3 linked regions of the Daphnia pulex genome follow. The protein of the gene in region 3 interacts with the protein of the main gene of each other region in a biochemical or structural test. Links are inferred from orthologs where the notes say so. Each region holds a gene or a part of one and is shown on either strand. Other genes may lie near its edges.

Region 1 (3,484 bases), on a different chromosome or scaffold from region 3:
AGCTTATTCTATTCAAGTCAGCAACATGCGCCTAACTCCTCCTCCTTATGGTTTCCAAGTGATGTCGCCTTTCATCTCTTCTTTGCGCCTCTCACACGGACACACACTTATGCATCTTTCCCCTGATACCCCCCACCCCATCTACTATAATACACATCCTCTCCGCACTCTAATAATTCAAATATCGCCCCATAAAAAGGGGGGGGGGGGCTGGCTGACCCACGACCGAGTACTGTGCTCTACACCGCTGGACATGTAATTTACTAGTCAACCATAGCTCGAGGAACACAGACAAGTAGGAGAGCTCGAGGAAATCTAATTATCGACTAGAAAGAGATGGGAGAGAGAGAGAGAGGCTGGGGGTAGGGATATAATTGCATTTTGGATGGCTATCCATGTCAAGTAGAGGCAGATGCAGAAGACGTGGGCAACGCAGTAGATCACTATAATCCGCTCAATAACGACATCCACTTTGCCTGATGTACCCGCACAACACAACGCCGACTCACCCATTGAAACGGGACCGTCATGTTTCGATAGCATGGGTGCATCTACCTAAAATCAGAAATCCCGATCGCGAAGGATAAACATGAGCTCCCAGTTTTATACACCGATTGAATCGTCTTTTTATTATGTAGTACCGACAGTCAACGGGTAAAATGTGGAGCGCAGGAATAACAGCGGCAGCAGCAAATGAGATATTGACCGAGAAGTATGGCAGGTGATCGCGAACAAATAGCGTGTGTAGCTTTGTGTGTGAGCGGAATTGTAGCGATGTCGCACCGAATCGAAATCGGTGCGTTAGGAGATGGCACACGACGTGTAGACTGTGTAAAAAAGCGCTTCAAAATGCCGGTTTTCGCTTATTTCCATCGCCATAAGGACGTAACAGGAGAACGTGAAATGAAGAGACGACAAAATAATGGGAAAAAACGCAGAGATCGGGTCAGACGTAGAACAGCCTCACTTTTGATGTTGAGACTAGAAGGGTGTCATCGTAGAATTTGGTTTCGATAGTCACATTTCCACTGCACAAAACAAAAAAATAATTTTGGCTTTAATTTCTCTATCAAATTGATTTAAGAATGCATAAATTTTGTTTTACTTTAAAATTTGTGCAGGCATCATTTGTGATTCTGGTGCAGCCTCAATTATTGATTGCCAGGTGTTTGTGGAGTTTGGGATGACGAATCCAAAATCAAATGTCCACTCTTCTAATGCTCTTCCCTATAGTTCAACACAACACATCCAGTTTCAGATTTCTCTGATTCTCACATGTTTTTATAACACGAAATCAAAAATGGGAAACTCCTACCTTGAAAAGGACTTTCTGTTCCAGTCGAAAGTTTTCGAGGGGTTCTATTGAGGAAAAGTTAATTTCCCTTGAAACGGCTCTGCAATTCAAAATACTTTTGGGTACTCGGGCTTCATGTTCAACATCAGGCTGGGACCTGAAACAAAGTGTCAAAAAGCATATTATAGATTATTTCTTTCTAATTTTAAAATTGATATATAGTAGAACTCACAAATCATCAGAGTTTTGCCACAGCAGTTTCCCGGTGTCTACTTCTCGTAGACTCATCCAGTTCCTGCAAGATGAGATAAATTAAATTAATTTCCAAAATATGAAAACAACCAAGAGACAAAACCAACTTACACTCTGAATCCCGACAGTATGTCTTCGGCTTTGGAAGGCATTACGTTCGATTCCAGATCTTCTCAATCGCAGGCCAGTCGACACGAGGACGACGGCGACCACCTCAACGTATCCCTTATTCAATATACAATTTTGCAGCACTTGGACTGCAGGCCCGATTCGGACGAGTTCGCTTTCAAAAGTGTATATGCCGACCAACCGCACACACACAGATGGGGTAAAACTTTCTGTATAAGGATAATTGATTGGTATCTTGGATCAATACAAAGTCGTATTATATATATAGAGCCGCCACCGGGTACTCGGCCAAGTAACAACTCTCTTGATGTCAACAAAAAACCAATAGACGAGAGTATAAGAAGAAATTCCATTAGACGTTGCCACATGGTTGTATTGCGATACCAAAATGCAAAGTCATGACTCATGAAAGAAAGTTTTAGAAATTGAACGAGTTTTATTGCTGGATTGGAAATAAACCGAATGTAAACCAAAATATAATTGGACCCATTGTTTCTCATCTTATACGAAAAGAAATATGGGATACGCGAAAAAATAAAACTGAACACAGAACCAAATAGGGGTGTGGCAGATTGACACTTCTGTTGCACAAAAATTGATATGGAATTATCAAAAAAAAAAAAAAAATACTTGTCACTTCTGTTGCAATAGATGATTTCTCTATTTGACAAAAGATTAAGCCAGCGGTTGCGGGAAATCTAATCTCTCTTGGATTGGGCACAGTTGCAATAAACAATTGGCCAGCGCGCAGATGCTTCTTCTTGGTACCAGAGCTTCTCGTCCGGATGATTTTCTTTGATGTGGTTTTCAATAAGATCGGCCCAGCAAGGTGGAATTTGCAAACGAACCTGTTTCCAACTCGCCGTCTGTCGACGATCATCCAGTTGTGAAGGAGGAGTTGCTTCTGCAATTGGTGTTTCTTTCGTAATTGGCTGTATCGGTAGGTCATCAACAGATTCAGCCCGCAGTTTCTTCTTAGAAGAGGATAGAACTTCGTTATCTTTTGAAGAAGTGAGCTGCTGAAGTGGTGTCCTTTTAGAGGTGATCGACCTTCGACAGTCTGGCAGTGGTTCAGTTGAGTATATTAGAGGTAAAGGTATACCAGCTAATCGTGAGCTTCTTCTACGTTCTTCCTGTGATGATCGACTTAGTGTTTTCTTGTTGGCAGAATGAATAGATGATTTCGATGATTCATCAAGTTTGGCATCCTGATAGATAACAGGAAATGATTCCGGGATAATAAATTCAATTTCCGCATGATCATCTGTTTTATATGTCGATTCGACAAAAATGACATCATTGTCCATATTGATGCTCGACTCAATCTCATCCATTAGCTCAACATCTGACAGACTTGCCTCGCATCCCATTAGGTTGCCTTCGATCGACTTCTTCAATTCAGTGTAACTTTCTTCATTATTTTCATTGACAGGCGATTTAGTTTTTTTATTTTCTGACGTGGAACTTTTCCTAGAAGATTTTCTAGATGAGGCAGGTGATGGGCCATCGGGCGAAGAGAATTTGGGAGTATCTTTTTCAGTATCAGGAGAAAGGTACAGGGCCAATGGACTCGATGAAAAATTTGCAGAGTTAGAAAGTGAATCAGTATCGACAAACAACTGTTTCCGTAAGTTACAGGAGCGAGCGGGGGATGTGGTCTCAACGACATTCCAAGATGAAAGCTGAGGTCGACGATGAGATCGTAGGGTTCGTATGACATCTCGACGCGCCTTTTTCTCGGTTGGAGTGATAAAAGGCGTAGGAAAGCGCTCTCGAAGAACTTTTTGAAATTCAATTAGCGGAGGAGTG
Region 2 (4,159 bases), on a different chromosome or scaffold from region 3:
GTATGGAAGAGAAATGGACTGTTTCTTTGGCTACCAGAGAGGCGGTTGATCAACTGGTGATATTCTCTCCTTTGTTTTGTCCCGTCTTATTATTAATCCTTTTGTTTTTCCTAATGTTTTGAACATAGATTGAAGCTGTACGATATCCTTGGGAAGCCGTCTTCTCCGTTGAGCTGGAAATCAACGAGCTCGACGAATAACATCATGTAATATCCCCCTCTCCATTAGACTTATTGTTTTTCTTTATTGTTACTTTGCTGTACACGAATTCTGTGCGAAGTGCAATTATTTTGTTTCAAACGTGAGCCTTTTCAACTTCTAATTCATTACACAATGTGCATTCAGATAATAAGCAATTTATAACAAAACTATTATTCATGTATTTTTTTATTATTACTGCTTATTTAAAACACAAATTCACTAAGCATGTTTCCAGAAGGGTGACTTTGTTTTGGTATTCAAATATTTGTAGAGCTTTTTGATTCTGACATTCAGCTCGGCCCACTTTGTTGGATGGGTGATAGGGTAACCTTCCTTTTGAACAAATTTCCTCTTGCGCAACAGGACCTAAAATCAAGTTTGAAACAAAATGGTCTGGTATACTATTTTCTTTCAGATCTGGAGTTTAGTAGTACCTGATACTCGTTTCCTTTTACTCCTCTTAACCAGTGAGGAACATTGTAGAGCAATTGAGTTGGGTGTAAGGTCTTTTGAGTGATTTCATTTGATGGGCCAAGGATATCGATGTAGTCATTCTGGCCAAAAAGTGCTCGTTTTTCATTCCAGCTGTTTTTCGGCTTGTAATCTGGTATGGGTAATCGTTTGTCCTGGTAAGCTGTTCTGGGTAAAAGACCACCCTTGAAAATTTTGTCTTCATAACCAAAACGTCGGGGAACTGGTCCTTTGGCAACTTTATCAGCGTGGAAGCGAAATCGCACTGTGGTCCATTCTGGACTGAACAAAGCTACAACTTTTGAAGCTTGATTAGCAGTTCCAACTAATGAGCGATATTTCAGAGTTGCACCAAGAGTGGAGATCATGGAACCTATCAGAGATGTCATTTTTCATGGGGTTTGACACTTTGACCTAAAGAAAAATATTCACAAATAAATTAATTGAATAGTTAAAAGCTGAAAGCGTTAAAAGTTCTCTTTTTTTTACCGGTAACTTGCTAAACTTATTTATACACGGGATATAATTAAATAAAATGACTTTAGAAACCAACTAGTTGAAAACATGCAGAGCAGACGACGCAATAAGCGTTGCGGAACATGTGCCGCACTATCATTAAAACGTTAACACGTTAACGGCCTGCCAGGGTCAGAGCCATACACCATGCCAGAGCCCCAGAGCTATAGACTCCTCTGGTTAAGTGTTAAAGGAACTTGCTAGCAGCTAGTAAGAGCTAAGCTTAATAAATTTAACAAGTATAAGGCAATATAAGCTATAAGGTATAGGCTACCGACCGGTTTTTTTTTAAATTATTCATTTCCACAGAGATTTTCACAGTTTAGATTCCTGCTTTTGATAAATACAAATTACTGCCGAAATCATTTGTTGACATTCGGGTTGCTGTTTACTCATACCCTCTTCTTCTTTGACAACTTTTTTGAGAAATCAAAATGACTCTAGAAGTTGCAGATGAGTGCACAGAAAAAGAAATCGATGTCATTGGACTTGGGTGCTCAAAAGAATCTTTTACTGAGCACTCGGAGGTTGAAAAACTCATTGACGAACTGAGGACGTCAGCCCAACATCAGACAAACCAAACGGATATTCGTTTAGTGGAGAGAAACTGGCAAAGGTTTTCGTTCATTCTAGATCAATACCAAGAGCAACCACATTTGATCGATTCACACCTTGATGGACTACTCACTAAAATCATCAACATCATTCGCGAGGAAGGGCTGGATTATGAGGTGAAACATGTGGCCTTCCGATGCCTCTACTTTATATCGAAAGTCAGAGGCTACAAAGTTGTAGCAAGACATCTTCCTCACGAGGTAATGTACTATAGAGTTTCCCTGTGATCTAATTGTCTAAATCAAAATTCTTTCTAGACTGCCGATCTGGAGCCTTTGCTACATTACTTGGAAAACCAAGACCCTGGTGTGCAACTAAAATGGGAGACTCATTACGGCTTGCTTCTGTGGCTCAGCATTGTAGTTAAAATCCCGTTCCACCTTCAGCGATTTGACACCAGCACTTCAGAACCAATCATGGAAAGGTAAGAACAATTTTTTACAATATTGATGTCTTTTGAATCAAGATGAGTTAAATGTCTTTCAGAATTCTGAATGTCTGTAAGAAATACCTGGCTGGGACAACAAAAGCTCAGGACATGGCCTTTTATGTATCGGCAATCTATCTTACAAGGCCTGATGTCAAAGATTCCTATCTACCGGGATTCATCAATTGGGCTCATGAGGTGTGCCCTTTTGTTTTCAACTTGAAAATAACTGTCAAGCTTACTGTTTTCATTTCCAACAGGTTCTTACCAAAGATAGTGCCCAGTTCAAAAAAGGAGTTCTTTCAACGTTGGCCGGCGTATTCAAACATGGGCAAAGAGAACAAATGATGGAGCATGCACATGCTGTGCTGCGTACCATCCTGACGATTAAATTTCAACCGTCAGAATTGCTTATAGTTAAGAAACCGTTGGTGAAGCTGACGCAGCGAATAGGTGAGCCCCTTCTTCGATTCATTCAGCTGCAAGTAATTAAAACGTTTCATGTATTTCTGAATGGCAGGTTTGATATTTTTGAAACCTCGCGTTGCCTCTTGGAGATACCAGCGGGGCAGCAGATCATTAGCTGCCAATCTGCAACAGAGCCAACCCGTTGAGACTAAAGCAGCTATTTCGGTGAATGATGAAGATGACGACGATTACGACGTGCCGGAAGAAATCGAAGAAGTACTTGACGAGATCCTGCAAGCCCTCCGAGACAAGAACCGTGAAGTCCAGTACTGAATTTAAATCTCTTTTCATTTGTTAAAGCAATCCTTTGTCATGATAATCTTATTTTTTACAGGTACTCTGCAGCAAAAGGCATTGGTCGGCTGACCAGTCGCTTATCAAAGAACTTTGCCGACCAGGTTAGCTTAATATTAATATGAAGACGTAATAATATCAACCTTATTCATTGTTGACTTTGTTGTTGTGTGGCTTACATTCAGTAATTCTTGTATCTCTATAGAAAACACTGAACAATACTATTATTATTACAACGATTTAATTATTAATCAGGTAATTGAATCGATCATGGAACTTTTTTCTCTCCGGGAGTCGGATATGGCCTGGCACGGAGGATGTTTGGCTTTGGCTGAATTAGGTATCGTTGTCTTAAATGTTGAAAAGTATATCTAAACGCATAACTAGATGTCTCTCTCTTCTTCATTTTTTAGCCCGTCGTGGATTGTTGTTACCCCAGCGATTGTCTTCTGTCTTGCCTTTTGTGGAGCAGGCCATGCTGTACGATGAGTTACGCGGTAACTTTTCCGTTGGCTCGGCTGTACGTGATGCCGCTTGTTACCTCTGCTGGGCTCTTGCCCGATCCTACGACCCTTCTCTGCTCCAGCCATTCGTCCATCAGTTGGCTAAAGCCCTAGTCATCACCACCGTGTTCGATCGTGAGGTCAACTGCCGACGGGCTGCCGCTTCTGCCTTCCAGGAACACGTCGGTCGACAGGGCACTTTCCCTCACGGCATCGACATCCTCACCACCTGCGATTATTTCGCTGTTGGCTTACGTAAAAATGCCTATCTCCAACTCAGGTGAGTTTCATTCTGTTGCAAATTCATTTCATGCTGATAACAATTCTCTTTTTTCTCCAGTCTTTTCGTGGCGCAATACGAAGAGTACCGACCGCATCTCATCCAGCATTTGGTGGATCGTAAAGTCATCCATTGGGACACGGTTATTCGACAGCTAACATCTCAGGTATGGCGTGGTGGTGCAATTGAACTTTGCTAATTGAACTGCAGTTGTTAATCAGAATTTTTGTTCAGGCCTTGCATCAAATAACGTTCCTCGATCCGGAGAGTATGAAAGTGATTCTTTCTACTCAGATCCTTCCTCGTTGCACAAACCCTGAACTCTATTTACGGCACGGAAGCATTTTGGCCAGTGGCAAAGTCATCAGCGCTCTTTGTCAAGTG
Region 3 (3,033 bases):
GTTTATAATTACCTCACGTCAGAAATCTTTCTGCACCAGGTAATTATCAAACGTGTTTTTATATCTTCAATTATTTCTGTAAATTAACGCATTTGAATCACACGCAAGATGGATCCTCGAGTGAACGTGAGAGCTGGACGATCCAGATGTTGTCTGGCGGGCAACACCAGTGGTTCCGACATGTGCGGACGACCAGATTGCCTATGGCCGTGTCCTTATCCTGCCTTGCAAGAACACAAACATTTAAATGTTACTCAGGACAAGGCGTTTTTTCACGAAACTTCCGGCGCCACTTTTCTCAACTTCCGCCAGGCTTGCGTGGTCGAATCGCTGGCCTTTCACAATCCCAACTTGACCGTCCACCTCCTCATGACGGGCAAGCATTTAGATCTAAATTCAGTGACGATGAAAACGCTGAGGCTCAACTACCCCAACGTGCAAATCACCAGCATCAATTTGGGCGACTACATGGTCGCCACTCCGCTGGAGCGTTGGTATTTCTGCACAGAGTGGAACCGTGGATGGTACGCCGTGGCCCATCTCAGCGATGCTCTACGATTTCTGACCCTGTCCAAGTACGGTGGATACTATTTCGATTTGGACGTGATCCAACTCCGACCCGTGACTCCGTACCGGAATTTTGTGGTGGCCGAAGATGGTGACAAACTCGGATCGAGTGTCATTCACGTCGACCATCAACATCCAATCATTCGAACTGCTGTCGAAACATTTGCAGCTGATTACAAGTACTAAATAATTTAATAAAAAACCTTTAGTGATCTCATTTTCAATAGAATTCTTGATAATACAGGTGGTATGTTTGGTCTCATAATGGGCCCGATTTGGTAACGCGGATCCTACAAAATTGGTGTCAAGTTTACTACATTAGCTGGATGACTCCGGAGCGATGCCAAGGGTTCCGGATTTTAGCGCCAAAGTCATTTTACCCAGTGCACTATCATCGATGGAGAGATTACTTTTACAAACGTGGCGACAAACCAGTGGATAAGGTGAACTGGGACGAGTCTGTTGTCGGAGCTCACGTTTGGAACAGCATGAGCTCTCATTGGTTAGTCAACAAGAATTCCAATCAGTATTACGCGCAGATGGCGCGTTCTTCTTGTCCTCTCATCTTCGAAGTCGCACCCGAAGAGTTTTAAAAAATAAATGACTTGTAAATTTACTACATCTCTTATCAAATATACACCTAGTTTTGGACGGAATTTTCAATCAACTTTCTTAAACGTCAAACAGTGACCTGTCCTGTATTTTGATATTTTCTTCCGGTCGATTGTCGAGACGACGCGATACAATTTTTAACCAACAGATGGCGCTGTTTAAACTTGAAAAAAGGGCGGGCCTTATTTGTTCAAGGCCTGCCCCTTGCAAACAAACTGTCAACAACAAACAAGTCAAACCAAGTGAAATCAAATAAATTGCTACTTGCCTCAGTAACCAGAATGGTCTTATTGACCATACTAAAAAAATTGAAACAGAAAGAGAAAGAAATGCGTCTACTTATGCTGTCAGTTTTTTCTTCAATCGTTTGCTATTCAAAATAACTCTTAAAAAATTGCTAACTTGTACAATTTATAACTGTCTTTCAGGGGCCTTGACAATGCTGGCAAAACCACCATATTAAAAAAATTCAATGGAGAAGATGTCCATACGATTTCACCAACTCTCGGATTCAACATCAAGACCCTGGAACACCAAAAGTGCCGATTGACCTAATTCATTATTCTTACTTTTTAGACTGATGTCTTTTAACAACATGCTTCTATTTTTAAAAGTTACCAGCTCAATATATGGGACGTTGGAGGGCAAAAATCGTTGAGGTCCTACTGGCGAAACTACTTTGAAAGCACAGATGGCCTAGTTTGGGTTGTCGACAGCATTGACAGAAGGAGGATGGAAGATTGCACAAAAGAATTACATTCCTTACTACAAGAAGAGGTAGTTCTTTACTTATTGGTATTTTTAAAACACATTTTTACATTCCTACCTTTTAAAAGAGATTGGCAGGTGCAACATTGCTTGTTTTTGCCAACAAGCAAGATTTGCCAGGGTCAATGACAGCTGATGAAATCAAAGAGGTATATTGTCCACTGCCATCCATTCACTTACAGTTAAACTAAATCACGTTGTAATGACAACAGGCACTGAATCTCGACAGCATTGAAACTCATCACTGGCGTATCGTCGGCTGCAGCGCCATGAACGGAGACAATTTGTTGTCAGGAATCGATTGGCTAGTCGAAGATATCGGAGCCAGGATATTTACATTAGAGTAATGTGTATTCTCTCTCTCTCGTTCTCTCTAAAAGTCAGTACGGGCTGGGAGGTTATAAGAAATTGTGGCCGTCTTAATTTTATAATGTACAATCGATGAAAAGAATTAGACAGACCGTGGAAAAAAAAGGCAACAAAACAAAACGGCATTCATTCAATTATTTTAATTAACTATCTAAATGGTCCTGGAATATTAATTTTGCGAAGCCTCGATCCTCCAGCGGTGTGGCGCAAAACGGGCATTTGCCAATGAATCCGTTAGTACCGTGAGGAATAGGAATAGCTCCCCAGTATCTATAATTGTGTTTGATAATAATATAAGAGTCGGATCAATAAAAAAAAGGCCAAGTGTGCAAATTAAAAAGCGATTGCATACTTGACTGTTTTCTCGGAAGCCATATGACCGCAGGGATTGAACGCGTACGTGGGTGGTTCGCGATCCACCCAAAAGGCTGGTTCGAGACCCATGCTGAGTTGTGAGACAGGGCCAACTTTAAGGCAGATGGGGCATGTTCGATCTTCTCCTTCTTTCCCCCAGTGATGCTGGCCCTGAACGTGCCCACATTTCAAATAAACGTACGGAGTCTGATCGGGCGGCGGTAAAGTCGACTTTCTCGGCAACACCAGCGTGTTCAAACCGACTGGACACTGCGGTTTGCCTGCATTCAACTCGTCAACCATCTTTTCCAAATGTCTAGCCGTCTGCAATACACAAACCAATGCAAACACATCAAATAAACT

The links.
Region 1: the proteins of ADP-ribosylation factor-like protein 2 (region 3) and retinal rod rhodopsin-sensitive cGMP 3',5'-cyclic phosphodiesterase subunit delta-like are reported together in a solved structure, tested with the Homo sapiens proteins (2 studies listed by BioGRID and IntAct, with this or other methods). The link is inferred for Daphnia pulex from reciprocal best matches to the Homo sapiens genes ARL2 and PDE6D.
Region 2: the proteins of ADP-ribosylation factor-like protein 2 (region 3) and tubulin-specific chaperone D-like form a complex in vitro, tested with the Homo sapiens proteins (2 studies listed by BioGRID and IntAct). The link is inferred for Daphnia pulex from reciprocal best matches to the Homo sapiens genes ARL2 and TBCD.

What each region holds. Positions count from the first base shown.
Region 1 is NC_060018.1:861,769-865,252, reverse strand, and holds retinal rod rhodopsin-sensitive cGMP 3',5'-cyclic phosphodiesterase subunit delta-like, read right to left. Parts: upstream 2,001-3,484; 5' UTR 1,699-2,000; coding exon 1,658-1,698; intron 1,590-1,657; coding exon 1,527-1,589; intron 1,452-1,526; coding exon 1,316-1,451; intron 1,228-1,315; coding exon 1,106-1,227; intron 1,029-1,105; coding exon 947-1,028; 3' UTR 602-946; downstream 1-601. Other genes in the region: uncharacterized protein LOC124188871, read right to left, coding at 2,374-3,484. UniProt on the Homo sapiens protein: Promotes the release of prenylated target proteins from cellular membranes. Modulates the activity of prenylated or palmitoylated Ras family members by regulating their subcellular location.
Region 2 is NC_060024.1:14,104,730-14,108,888, forward strand, and holds the start of tubulin-specific chaperone D-like, read left to right. Parts: upstream 1-1,305; 5' UTR 1,306-1,622; coding exon 1,623-2,003; intron 2,004-2,060; coding exon 2,061-2,227; intron 2,228-2,289; coding exon 2,290-2,428; intron 2,429-2,490; coding exon 2,491-2,683; intron 2,684-2,750; coding exon 2,751-2,964; intron 2,965-3,032; coding exon 3,033-3,096; intron 3,097-3,247; coding exon 3,248-3,332; intron 3,333-3,405; coding exon 3,406-3,775; intron 3,776-3,835; coding exon 3,836-3,941; intron 3,942-4,009; coding exon 4,010-4,159. Other genes in the region: serine/threonine-protein kinase 11-interacting protein-like, read left to right, coding at 1-56, 129-200; 39S ribosomal protein L51, mitochondrial-like, read right to left, coding at 421-567, 636-1,061.
Region 3 is NC_060021.1:207,154-210,186, reverse strand, and holds ADP-ribosylation factor-like protein 2, read left to right. Parts: upstream 1-1,363; 5' UTR 1,364-1,460; coding exon 1,461-1,525; intron 1,526-1,607; coding exon 1,608-1,718; intron 1,719-1,793; coding exon 1,794-1,956; intron 1,957-2,015; coding exon 2,016-2,096; intron 2,097-2,159; coding exon 2,160-2,294; 3' UTR 2,295-2,436; downstream 2,437-3,033. Other genes in the region: lactosylceramide 4-alpha-galactosyltransferase-like, read left to right, coding at 1-39, 109-746, 812-1,160; protein pellino-like, read right to left, coding at 2,460-2,586, 2,669-2,994. UniProt on the Homo sapiens protein: Small GTP-binding protein which cycles between an inactive GDP-bound and an active GTP-bound form, and the rate of cycling is regulated by guanine nucleotide exchange factors (GEF) and GTPase-activating proteins (GAP).